3 linked regions of the Arabidopsis thaliana genome follow. The protein of the gene in region 1 interacts with the protein of each later gene in a pairwise test. Each region holds a gene or a part of one and is shown on either strand. Other genes may lie near its edges.

What was found.
Region 2: the proteins of BBX30 (region 1) and COL9 interact in binary tests that used the Arabidopsis thaliana proteins (3 or more experiments, as listed by UniProt).
Region 3: the proteins of BBX30 (region 1) and AT2G33710 interact in binary tests that used the Arabidopsis thaliana proteins (3 or more experiments, as listed by UniProt).

What each region holds. Positions count from the first base shown.
Region 1 is NC_003075.7:8,707,062-8,710,069, reverse strand, and holds BBX30 (B-box type zinc finger family protein), read right to left. Parts: upstream 1,230-3,008; 5' UTR 1,190-1,229; coding exon 836-1,189; 3' UTR 588-835; downstream 1-587. Other genes in the region: BBX9 (B-box type zinc finger protein with CCT domain-containing protein), read left to right, coding at 8-128. UniProt on the Arabidopsis thaliana protein: Developmental regulator acting by forming heterodimeric complexes, that sequester CO and CO-like (COL) proteins into non-functional complexes. Engages CO and the transcriptional repressor TPL in a tripartite complex.
Region 2 is NC_003074.8:2,439,490-2,445,072, forward strand, and holds COL9 (CONSTANS-like 9), read left to right. Parts: upstream 1-2,079; 5' UTR 2,080-2,351; intron 2,352-2,973; exon of another isoform or gene 2,974-2,976; 5' UTR 2,977-3,004; coding exon 3,005-3,532; intron 3,533-3,633; coding exon 3,634-3,804; intron 3,805-3,897; coding exon 3,898-4,187; intron 4,188-4,282; coding exon 4,283-4,412; 3' UTR 4,413-5,043; downstream 5,044-5,583. Other genes in the region: AT3G07640 (period circadian protein), read left to right, coding at 44-172.
Region 3 is NC_003071.7:14,258,184-14,262,439, reverse strand, and holds AT2G33710 (Integrase-type DNA-binding superfamily protein), read left to right. Parts: upstream 1-1,700; 5' UTR 1,701-1,787; coding exon 1,788-1,968; intron 1,969-2,693; coding exon 2,694-3,133; coding exon of another isoform or gene 3,134-3,169; exon of another isoform or gene 3,170-3,400; coding exon 3,401-3,475; 3' UTR 3,476-3,631; downstream 3,632-4,256.

The sequences.
Region 1 (3,008 bases):
CTTCTAGGTTTGGGAAGCAAATAAGATATGCATCACGCAAAGCCAGAGCTGATACGAGAAAACGGGTCAAAGGGAGATTTGTAAAATCTGGAGAAACTTTTGAGTATGATCCGTCACTGGTGATGTGAACTAGTGAATCTTCACTGCGGAACTAAAGAATAATCTGACTCCATCCACGGGATTAACAGTTTCTTGTCGGAGAAGTAACAAAAAAAAAACATAAAATTCTCTTCTTGAGAAAGTATACAAGATCAAACTACAAAGACTTAAAATCATCGCAAAGGTGATTCCAAAATGGAGATTAAAAAAAAAAAAAACTGAAAGTTGCTCTTTTTACTAGAGAATTTCCACTGTTTTTTGATGCAACCACAAAACCTACCGGTCATACAGGCATTAATTAGGCATACAGCTACGAGACGATCAGACAAAATCAGAAACCAAAAAACAAAACAAGAGTCGTTGACTCTTTCCTACTTATAGCTCCTTAATCTCAATTACATGTTAATCATAGAAAAATATATCTTCTTTGTGTTTTGGACCACTCTCCACCTTCCATTTCACTTGATTGTAATTTGTAACGTTGTATTGTTTTCCTAGTTAAGAAAAATAAAGCCAAAGAATAAAGGCAGATTATGTTTGCCATAGGAAGATTTGTTCTTGATTTCTTATAGCTTACTATTGGGACCGCATTATTTTACTATTAAATCAATATGTTTTCTAGGTGTTCATATATTACTTTTAAGCTTTAGAATGAAAATATACATTCTTAGAACATTTCCAGAGAAAAAACCCTACCAATATTTAATCTTAATTACGCGAAAAACAAAACATAAAATCAGAGAAACACAAAGGGAATTTTGTGATCACTACTATGTTCTTCAATCCTTGCTATCATCCTTATCTCCGGTAAAACAACATTAAAATTATCACCGACAAGACATCGACGAGTTAGCTTCCGACAGGTCGTGCAGATCACGCGCCGGAGATGTCTCCGAGCTAGAAAATTAGCAGAATGGACCCATCGATCGCATTTCCTACAAAGGAAAGCTGCGTCTGCCTCACAATACACGGTGGCGTTCTCGCCGCAAAGCTCACAGCTTACCGGAGCTTTGTGACTCTCCGTGCATAGTCTTTGGCATCCTCCATTGTCGCTTCTTCTCTCTTCTTCTTTCTCAAACCCTCTACACATCTTTACTCTTTCTTTGTCTCTCTTGTGTTCAAGATTTAGGTTTATATAGGAATGATTGTTATTTAAAGCAAATGGATATTATGAAATTGTCATTAAACTGGTTGTACACGTGGAAAAATATTGACCTATTGGTTTGATGTGAGTGTCCCTAGAGGACCAAATTGTCAATAATTTAGTTATTTTCCCTCCACCAGACGATCTCTCGTCCTCATGTTTGATACACAAGTTTCGAGTAGTTGACTAGTATGACTCGCTCATTGTCACATATCACAATCACGTTCTAGAATGAATCATGAATCATAGCATTTTTGTGGTCTATAAAAAGGGAGTATATAATAATAGTATATGAATTTATTAGTGATTATTCATTAAACTACTGTGCAAGTTTTTGGTTTGTTTTAAAAAGATAATATATGAACGAGAAATTGTGTAACATACTATCATTTGTTTTCAATCATGTTTTCACTTAGATTATAATATTTCTTTTTTTTTTAAAACTATTTCTGTTCGTTTTTATAAATTTATGAGCAGTCATAACATCTACCAAAGAAATGTACCTTTTTCTTAATCTGAATTGATACAAGAGTCAAGAAAATCTACGAGTGTGGAATGAAGCGTTGAAGAAGATGAAGAAAGAGAGATACATTCAATTTAATGTAATTTAGGTGACTCATGATGGCCATGGGTGCAGTGCAGCCAATTACTCTAAATTTTACTATTAACTAGTTACTCGTTTAGTCTAGAAAAATTCATCGCCGAAGAAGTGGTTAGAGAATCAATGTCCCACTGATTACAATTATTAAAGATTATGTGACTATGTGAGCATTCAGAAATATATTGAATATCGGGTCGGGACAGTCTCTACGTTATTGGGTGTCTTCGTGTCATTGTGTGTGTGGTGGTTAACTATTTTAACTTTATATTTTATTACGAGTTTGCTCGCAAAAGGAAAAAAAAAGGAACTTCACTTGCATGGTTCATGATTAAAGTAATTTCTTTTAACGATTAAAATAATTAATTTCTTATTTTCTAGGAGACGTACATCCTCCGAAACTGTCAAAGTTGAATATCCCCTAATGGTTGCAGCGGTTAATGCCGTCAAATCTCTTTGTAGACTGAGCTGAATTTTTATTTACTATTTATAAATTGTGTATTGTAAGCAGAGATTTTTTTCTTAAAAAGTTTGTTGTGAACTAGCTACGAACCGCTTTAACATACAAATAGAGTTGGTCTGCGACGCGACAGTTTATTGTCTGCAGTAAAAATAGAACATACTAAACCGTTGATGAATATGTCCATCTCGACTATTATCACCATTTAAACTCGAAATGGTAACGTATACATAACAAATTTATGATATACTGATAAAATTATCGTTGATAATTAGTTGGTAAACACTTAGTTAATTCATCGTTAATTTAATGACGTTTAAATGATATATTTAATGATGATTCGACCAAATTTATCATCAGAATGACCAAAAAATTTCACGAATAAAAACTTTATGCGTTTCACAGTTTATGTTTTAGGTTTTGAATGAATGCAATGAAAAAAGTGAACTAAACCGCTAACGAAACATATCACTTTATTTTTGAAGCAGACAACAAACAACCACAGACCAAGTTTTTTTATATGTAAAAGCAGTACATAGTTAGTCCGATGCAGACTTGTTCTATTTTCTCAATCCATACTACTACGGATTATAGCTTATGAATGGTAAACAAAAAACGGTTTAAATCGTAAAAGGATTTGTCCGTCCTAACCACCGCAACTATTCGAAACTTCTCACTCTTTGAATTCTAATTTTAACTAATTAACC
Region 2 (5,583 bases), on another chromosome or scaffold:
ATTTCAGCTGAATAACGAGTTTGTGTTGTTGTTGTCATCACAGGTGATCCATGAAACAGGGGAGCTCGTGGCTAGTTGGACAGGACTGTCTTTCTCAAGAGACAGAATCAAGTGGAGCGCATCAAAGACATCAAAAGAAGAAGAAAGTCCGTGGCGTGCTCTTTATGGCTAATCTTCACAGGTCAGGTCTTTTTCATGGCCCAACACTGCTACAGTCTTTGCTTGGACCTGCAGTAAATTTCCCTATTGTAGTAGTACCCTTTTGTTAAAATTCTTATGCTCAGCAGAACCAAATCCACGTCACTCTGCTTTTTCTAGGATATTTATTTATGAAAGAAACAGTTTCTTTTTTTTTGGGCTGACTTGGTTCAACCAAATCTTAAACTCTCAGAAGCATTTTGATTTAAAGGTACATATATTTGGTCAACTCATGGGAGGATCATAACATAGGAGTGGGATTACTTAATATAATACAAATGATTAGAGTTATGATTGGTGGGAGAGGCATAAAAAAAGAGAGATTAAAATTGGTGTGAAGTCCATAAAAGGCACTCATGAAGTATAGTAATAGAGATAGTTAATGTTATCTTAAGAGAAAATAAGTGAGGTGTCGTCAGCTCTGCTAACTGCTAAGCCGGTTGTTTAATAATAGGATATTGATGAAGAAGAAGGAATACGATGTTTTGTACCAAAGTTTTTCGGATCGTCCGAGAATCTTATCCTACTGACATTTCAGCATCATATGTTATTTTTTTTGTTTGTTGTTTTTATATATCTTGTTCGATCTTTTTAGTGCGTCTTATCGTCGCCTTTTCGCTTTCATTATCATTTGATTAGATGACTACTATTCACTTATTTGCCAGGCAGATTTGTTAATATTTTAACCAATTAGGGTCTTTGATCATTCGTCTTTGATTGGATACATACGAGTCTGGATAAAGAGCAATTCATTTTGATGTTTTCTTAATTGAGAACGAAACACAATATTAACTCACCATTAACTAATACTATATTATATGAGTTTAAAAATTAACACTTGCTCAATTTCAAAAACAATAGTTTTCTGATTAACAATGCATCATTTCAATTCGACTTCTCATCTTGTAATTATAAACTTTGAACTGAAGTTATGATCAATTATTTAGTGGTACTAAATCGTATATTCAATAGGAACTTAAATTGTAAACATGTGAAAACAGTCAGACACTTAAAAAAATGGAGGTGGGGTTTCATCCAAGACTTAACCATCATTCTTTCATATTTGGTCTATCATGTTTTGCTTTTTTATATTACTCAATTTAATAAATCGATATCGAGTACCCAAGAAATCGAAATAAAGAAATGGGTTTAAGTAAACCGGTGAACAATATTAATATGAGGAAAGAAAAAGGACAAAAGAGAGATCTATCATATTGATTTCATTATTTTTCAGCGACTTTATGATTATTATTTTTATGAAGAATATTGGGGCAAAGGCTAGTAGTACGTAGACGTAGTGTGAAATATCTTTCTGGTCTGAAAGAGTTATACAGACGTATCTAACTTGGCAGATATTTTTTGGTTTTCATTCAGTTCTCTCTCCCCTCAATGATAAATATCATTAATTTATTTTATTTGTTCTACCAAAAGAAGATATTTTTGTTATATACGCCCACCGAAAAATGAAGAAGAAGAAGATATTTTTGGCTTTTGTAAGGTCAAAGCAAACAGATTTATCAATTATTATTATTATTATCTGAGACTGAGAGAGAGAGAGAGAGGGAGATTTTCTGAATTCTGATTCGTCGAAAAGCATCAAAAAAGTGAACGCTTGAGAATCCATTATGGCACAAACTAGCCACTTGGTAACTTCCACGTCGCGAGTAGATTATCTTCAATACTCGCATGCGCGTGAGTAAAAAACATACAACCTTTTTTTCTTTTCTTTCTAATAGTAATATCTTTAAGAAATATCCATAAAAATTTTATTGCTTTCACTATAAATACGAGAGGGACCCACAATACCCTACACGAACTTTTTTGCACTTTTTCGTCTTTTTAATTAATAAAAAAAAGAAAGAGAAGGAAGGAAATTAGGCACTTTTGATAAATCAGATTATGTCAGAAGCGCCTACATGTCCCTTTGCGGACACACCCACCCATTGTCTATCCATTCATTTTTTTTTTTCATTTCTTCCTCCAGAGAGAGAGAGAGAAGCCACAACAAGAAGAAGAAGAAGAAGAAGAAGAAGAAGAAGTTCTGGAATAGTCATCATCTTCTCTGTTTCTAGGCTTTGTTTATTTGTCTCTAAAGTTTCTGGATTCAACTTCTGAAGAAGATAGTAGTAGTCCACAAGAAGGATCTTCTTTACGTGAGTTGTTTGTTTCTCTTCTCCCTCTGTCTTTTCTTTTCTGATTTTAATAATCCCAAGTGTGTTCTTATTTTCTTGCTATCTGTTGTATAATTGGTGTTAGTGATTGATTATTCATTGTATATCGATGAAGGGTTGGTTTTGATTTTTGTTGAATTGGATCTTTTGATTTGGGGTTTTAAAACTTGTTCGGATGATGATGATTGGGATTGATCCAAAAGTTTTCGTTATTTATTGGAAATTCAGATTTTTTCGATTCAGTTCCATTTGAACTAGTAAGTCAAACAAAATCTCTAGATTTACTGATCTGGGGTTTATACTTTGAAGCTTGAGTTGTTGTTGTTTTATTAATTTATTTCGATTTTCAGTAATATCCATTTGTAGGTTTTGGTCTCTGACTCTTGTTTATAATAAAAGCTCTGTATTGAGTAAAATCTCATGAAAGTAGGTTTCCTTTCCCTTTTTTATCCTTCTCCTTTGGTTATTAATCTCCTACAACCTTTTTTTAGAAATTACTACCTATATTCAGAAAGATTCCATCTATTTCTTCTTCAAGGCTTGCTTTTTTGAACCAAAAGTCTCTCTCTTTTTCATCTAATAATTTGTTTACTTTTTTGGACAGCAGAAAGTTGATTTGGTCAGAGCCAAGGAAGATGGGTTACATGTGTGACTTCTGTGGTGAACAAAGATCTATGGTGTACTGTCGATCCGATGCAGCTTGTTTGTGTCTCTCCTGTGACCGGAGTGTTCATTCCGCTAATGCATTGTCCAAACGACATTCTCGGACACTTGTCTGCGAGAGATGCAATGCTCAGCCTGCTACTGTCAGGTGTGTTGAAGAAAGGGTTTCACTCTGTCAAAACTGTGACTGGTCTGGCCACAACAACAGCAACAACAACAATTCTTCGTCTTCTTCTACTTCGCCGCAGCAGCATAAGAGGCAAACCATAAGTTGCTATTCGGGTTGCCCTTCCAGCTCAGAACTCGCTTCCATTTGGTCTTTCTGTTTGGACTTAGCTGGACAATCTATTTGTGAACAAGAACTGGGTATGATGAATATAGACGATGATGGTCCTACCGACAAGAAAACTTGTAATGAGGATAAGAAAGATGTCTTGGTTGGATCCTCTTCAATTCCTGAAACCAGTTCTGTACCACAAGGAAAATCATCTTCTGCTAAGGTAACTTTTTTTCTCAATATGTTATTACTTTTGCATCCATGGATATACATATCTATCATTTCTTTACTAAATTCAGAGTTGTTGTTTGTTTTGGTTTAAAGGATGTTGGAATGTGTGAAGATGACTTCTACGGGAACCTTGGTATGGATGAAGTTGACATGGCACTTGAGAACTATGAAGAACTCTTTGGTACCGCCTTTAACCCCTCTGAAGAGCTATTCGGGCATGGTGGAATCGATAGCCTTTTCCATAAGCACCAAACAGCTCCAGAGGTTTTTATCCATTACCCTTTCTTCTTAGATTTATCAAATTGGATGCATCTCTGTGTGATTCTAATAATGCTCTCTTGTTTTTGCTCAATCCAGGGAGGGAATTCGGTGCAGCCAGCAGGCAGTAATGATTCGTTCATGAGTTCGAAAACTGAGCCAATAATTTGCTTCGCATCGAAGCCAGCACATTCGAACATATCCTTCTCTGGAGTCACTGGAGAAAGTAGTGCTGGAGATTTCCAAGAATGTGGTGCATCATCTTCCATACAGCTCTCGGGGGAGCCACCATGGTATCCTCCAACATTACAGGATAACAATGCCTGCTCACATTCAGTAACCCGTAATAACGCAGTTATGCGTTACAAGGAGAAGAAGAAGGCTCGCAAGTAAGTAGTAGTCTGAAACTGCAAATACATGAGCATCATTGAAGTGAGTGCAGGATTTTCCTAATGTGACTCTGGCTTCTTTTTTCTGGAAACAGGTTTGATAAGAGAGTGAGGTATGCTTCCCGCAAAGCAAGAGCTGATGTGAGACGGCGTGTAAAGGGGCGATTTGTCAAAGCTGGTGAAGCTTATGATTACGACCCTCTCACCCCAACCAGAAGTTATTGAAGACTCCTTTTGAAAGGTACATAGATATATATACATGGCGAAGAATCGAACAAGAAAGGTTTTGACTTATGGGCAGTTTCAAGTGAGCAACTTGGAAAATTGTGGGTTAGTAACAAAACAAGACTACTGTAGCATGAACAGATTTCAAGACTGACTCTTGTAAGCAATCATTCATTCTTGGGATTCAATCGTTTTTTTTGGCCTCAGAAGCTTCATTCTTGACCAGAGGGATTATTCTCTGACTTTCCTTGTCCAAACTCCGGTTTCTTCTTCTTCTTCTTCAGGCGTCTCACACTGATCAGGGTTCCATGAATTTTGTTCTTCTCTTGGTAGTTAAAAAGGCAGGGAAGGAGATTTAGAGTAATTTAAACAATATGTGATTGTTGTATATGCCTTTGTATTTGTTTGTATACTCATAAATGTTTTTCTGTTTTGTACTCGGCATTCTTGTAAATTAAAGACATTATCCACATTCTTCTATAGACAAAGAAAGTTATGTGGTACCACTTAACCTAAGTCTCGTTCTGTAACAACCGACTAGTACTAGTTCAAGTTTAACGAGATTTTGGTTTGTAGTAACTTCAAGAGGTTGATCCAACAATGAGGCAATGCAAAACATCTGAACTTTATTATTTAAATGTCAGATTATAAAGGGGAGTCCATTTATGTGAGTTTAGGCGCTTTATCGCTGTTTACTTAAACTTAGCTTCTACTATGTCAATTTTGAACACTTATCAAAAGTGATTGAGATGCAAAACAGTAGTTTTCAAGATGACATATGGACCAAAAGTTTTTAACATTTATATTTGGAGTATTTCGGATTTTACAACTTAATGTGAATTTTCTTGAAGACTCATATTCACAAGCCTTAATTTTCGAATTGAGGAATAAACATTCAGAGAAAGTTGATTCGCGAGCAAGAAATTTGTCCAATTTGATTGCTGACTCGGATTTGAAAACATTGACCAAAGGCTAAGAAAAGAAGGAAGAGAGGAAGAGTCTTCAGATACAGACTCAGGTAGCAAAGTTCTTGTCTTAGCTCAGAAACTTAAAAAGAGAGCTAAAAAAGACCTCTTAAAAGCTAAGAAAGAAAAAAATTTGCTAAATCAAAAGAAAAAAAAAAAGATATAGAAAACACCAAAACACTGGTTTCATACAATACCTTTCCCTA
Region 3 (4,256 bases), on another chromosome or scaffold:
ATTCCTTACTGATATTTACAATTTAGCAACAACAAAAAAAATAAACACAAACAAATATCGATCAAAGCGTTCTGACTAGATCATGTGGTTTAGATCAAAATTAAAGCACTATCGTAACTAAACATACGTAATTTATTATAGTATTACAATGTGTTCATCTAATTGAATAGATGGCATACTAAGTAAAAAAGATGAATGCAACAATCAATGTATATACATAATTCAATAAATACTTAATTAAAAGATATAAATACAAATATAACACTAGGTCAAAGTTGGCCAATAAGAATAATTCTTTTGTGGCAATCATATAGACTACGGCATGGTCTTATGCTATTGGTGTGAGATTGGAGTTGATTTGTTCGTGCGAAGTTTGCTCTGACTATAATATTCAATGTTGACCACATATTATGTAAGCCCATACGTCATCTAGGTCTTTAAATCAATATCTTATATGACACACTTTTAGATTCCCCATTCGGTCAAATGTTTTATTAATTTAGAAAGTAAGTTTATATTGTTTCAGGTTATGTTTTTGTTTGTTAAATATTGTGCTTTTTCTTCAACCACAAGTTTATATGATTGAAAAATAATTCATCAACATCATGCATGTAATGACAATATTTTTTTTGTTTTTGTGTTTCTGATAAGGCGCAATGACAATATTCAACCCCATAAAAAAATCCCTCAACCATTTTTAAAATGGCACGAATCGTCCAAATTGCTTATAATAGAAATATTAGATTAGAATCCACAGTCAGATCCCACATATTATTATTAAAGAGATTCATCGCATATTCCATTCCAGTTGTTTTATGATGACTTGTGCAGAGTGTATTCCGTAAAACTATATATGTAGCGAATAGAAACAGAGTTTGTCCTTTAATTTTGAATATTCATCCTAATTAACCATGAACTTTTATATATTACATAAAACAATTTAAAAACACACTCAACTGTATTGGATGACATAAGCGACTTTTAATTAGCAAAAATATTATGCTATTTTATTTATGTGATTTATACAGTACGTTGTTTATTAAAATAAAATGATTGTGCAAAACACATATGTATCTATATATATATATATATATATATATATAAAGACATTAAAGTCAAATGATAGAAAATACATTATTTACCTAAATAATTGGTGTTTACATGTTTATATATATTAAAGTGTTTCTTTGATTATATGTTTGTCATTTGCTCATTTACCTAAATAATTAGATATTCATCATGGTCATTTAGGTAAATTAATTTTTTGGTGAGTCATTTAGGTAAATTATTAACCCTTTAATGTTCAGGATGAAAATAATTATTTAAATCCACCACATATATAATAAATAATTAATTTTAACTTAAAATGTTGACCGTAATTAACACAAGACTTGGATCATAATTAATGAATTTTGTATAAGACAGTCGTTTTTTTTTTCGTCTTTTGAGACACGCAATCGATTTTGGGTTAACACAAACCATTAATACAACTACATAGTGGGTCGGTCGATGCAGTCCGTAATGTAACGTTTGTTAAGGAAAATTAAAGAGATGAATACAAAGAATTGTTTTTAAGGAACAAAAAAGTGTGTGTAATGTTTATGACCAAAATATCCTCTAGGTTAGACAAACTCTCTATAATATTGGTCAACAAATACATGCGTGTGCGTCTATATATAACATAGATGCAGAGAATAGACATCTTTGCTGGTTCTTTGGCTTGTACCCAAACCCATCTTTGACTTCAAAAATAAAATAAAAATAATCATAATTGACATCATCGGATAATGCATAGCGGGAAGAGACCTCTATCACCAGAATCAATGGCCGGAAATAGAGAAGAGAAAAAAGAGTTGTGTTGTTGCTCAACTTTGTCGGAATCTGATGTGTCTGATTTTGTCTCTGAACTCACTGGTCAACCCATCCCATCATCCATTGATGATCAATCTTCGTCGCTTACTCTTCAAGGTAATTTCATCAGATCCTTTTTCCAATAATTTTAATTGCTATACTTTATAACTCGAGTGATTGTCTTTTCCATTGGTGATTCTCTTTACACATAGGAATGATTTAATCTTGGATTTTGCAATTGGTAATCCTTTAGTGGCTGCAGCATGGCCTTGATCAAATAGAGATATAATTTCATGTATGGCCACAATGCATTAGTTCAATTTACTATATGATTTTTTTAATGAATGTTCATGGTTAGATTTTCTTGAAAAAACCTGTCGGCTTTATTGGTTGGACAAAATTGATCATATTTGGCTTTCGGACAAATATGATTGGCAAGGCTTGGTTGCAATGGTCGTATTTTGGTTGAGATAACTAGCCAGAGAGAGTTTTAGGATTGTAACATGGGGAAAACGTATTTAAAATGATCAAACTTAATTTATATCCTAATTATATCATTGGTGTGATACATAAGTATATATATAGTTAATTACCAATTACGAGAGAGAGGAATGTATAAATGTAGGTTTGGCCTAATATATAGATTTCATAAGTAGATGTAGAAGAGGGGAATAAAAGTTGATGTAGAATGATCATATCATATGATTCAAACGCCCTTTAATAATCTTTACGAAATGCCTCTACACCGATAGTATACGTTATATTCATAGACATGCACGTCACATTTAAGTCACCATTTTCATGACAAGAGTGAACTTACAATTTTCATCATTTTTCTACAGAAAAAAGTAACTCGAGGCAACGAAACTACAGAGGCGTGAGGCAAAGACCGTGGGGAAAATGGGCGGCTGAGATTCGTGACCCGAACAAGGCAGCTCGTGTGTGGCTTGGGACGTTCGACACTGCAGAAGAAGCCGCCTTAGCGTATGATAAAGCTGCATTTGAGTTTAGAGGTCACAAGGCCAAGCTTAACTTCCCCGAGCATATTCGTGTCAACCCTACTCAACTCTATCCATCGCCCGCTACTTCCCATGATCGCATTATCGTGACACCACCTAGTCCACCTCCACCAATTGCTCCTGACATACTTCTTGATCAATATGGCCACTTTCAATCTCGAAGTAGTGATTCCAGTGCCAACTTGTCCATGAATATGCTGTCTTCTTCGTCTTCATCTTTGAATCATCAAGGGCTAAGACCAAATTTGGAGGATGGTGAAAACGTGAAGAACATTAGTATCCACAAACGACGAAAATAACATGTTAATGGCATAAATATCTCTTCGTCCAAGTTATCAAACGCATTGACCTCCGGCTTTGATCATTTTAGGCGCTTAATCTCTTTACGACTTCATTTTGGTAGTCTTTAAAGAGTCTATGGAGTGGATTTAGCTAGGAATCAGGCCTTATGGATGAAAAATATATAAATTTTGAACATGACTATGCAAGAATGGGATGAAGACTACTTAGCTTGGAAAACGTCCTGATAGGTCATGACGACTATATCCACAGAAGATGACCGACGGAGACAACAACATGCCTCACCTGATCGACCGATCAAATGAGATAATGTGTTGACCGGACCGGTCGGATCAGGTTGGGTCGAGTATATCAGGTAGAAAAAAGCTCGTACATGGTGCTTTATGTCTTTCCACTCCGAAGTAGCTTGCTAGTTTATCCTTTTGTATCACGTACGAAAGAGATAAAAAAAAAAGTTCAAAAACAAATATAGAGGGTATACACATGATGAGGGTGTTCGAGTTTCCAAAACATAAGCTAAATTTTTTTAAATATGTACTTACATTTATATCTGTCTTATTATCCAATGCTCATATATTTTTCAACGCGTTGAATGATGAAATGGTTGGTAAATAAAAATGAAACTAAACTAGGTAACAGTCTGCATATGAAACGATTAAAAAACGATTCAAGTAAAATTATTATAAATAAATTATTATATAGGATACACATATCGACTGCTAGTGTATAAAACAAAACATGTAGTAAAAGTTTTTTTGTTCTATTCAAATTTGCGATTATTTCATATAAGTGTATCTTTCACCAGTTAAATAACTGAATGGAGAAAAAGGTTCAACATTATGAAAAATTATTCATGAAAATTATTATCTGTGAAAATATGTTTTATGTTTTTAAAAATCAAATTCACATCTTGTGTGTTTTATTGAGTAATCAGAACCATTTAACCTGTTTTTTGCAAAAAAAAAAAAAAATCACGTAATTTGATGGACAAATCCACAAAGAATCGCGATCACAAAATTAAAATCAGAACTAATATGCCTCTTAGATGATTACATGTGGACACTATCAAATCTACACTATTTATGT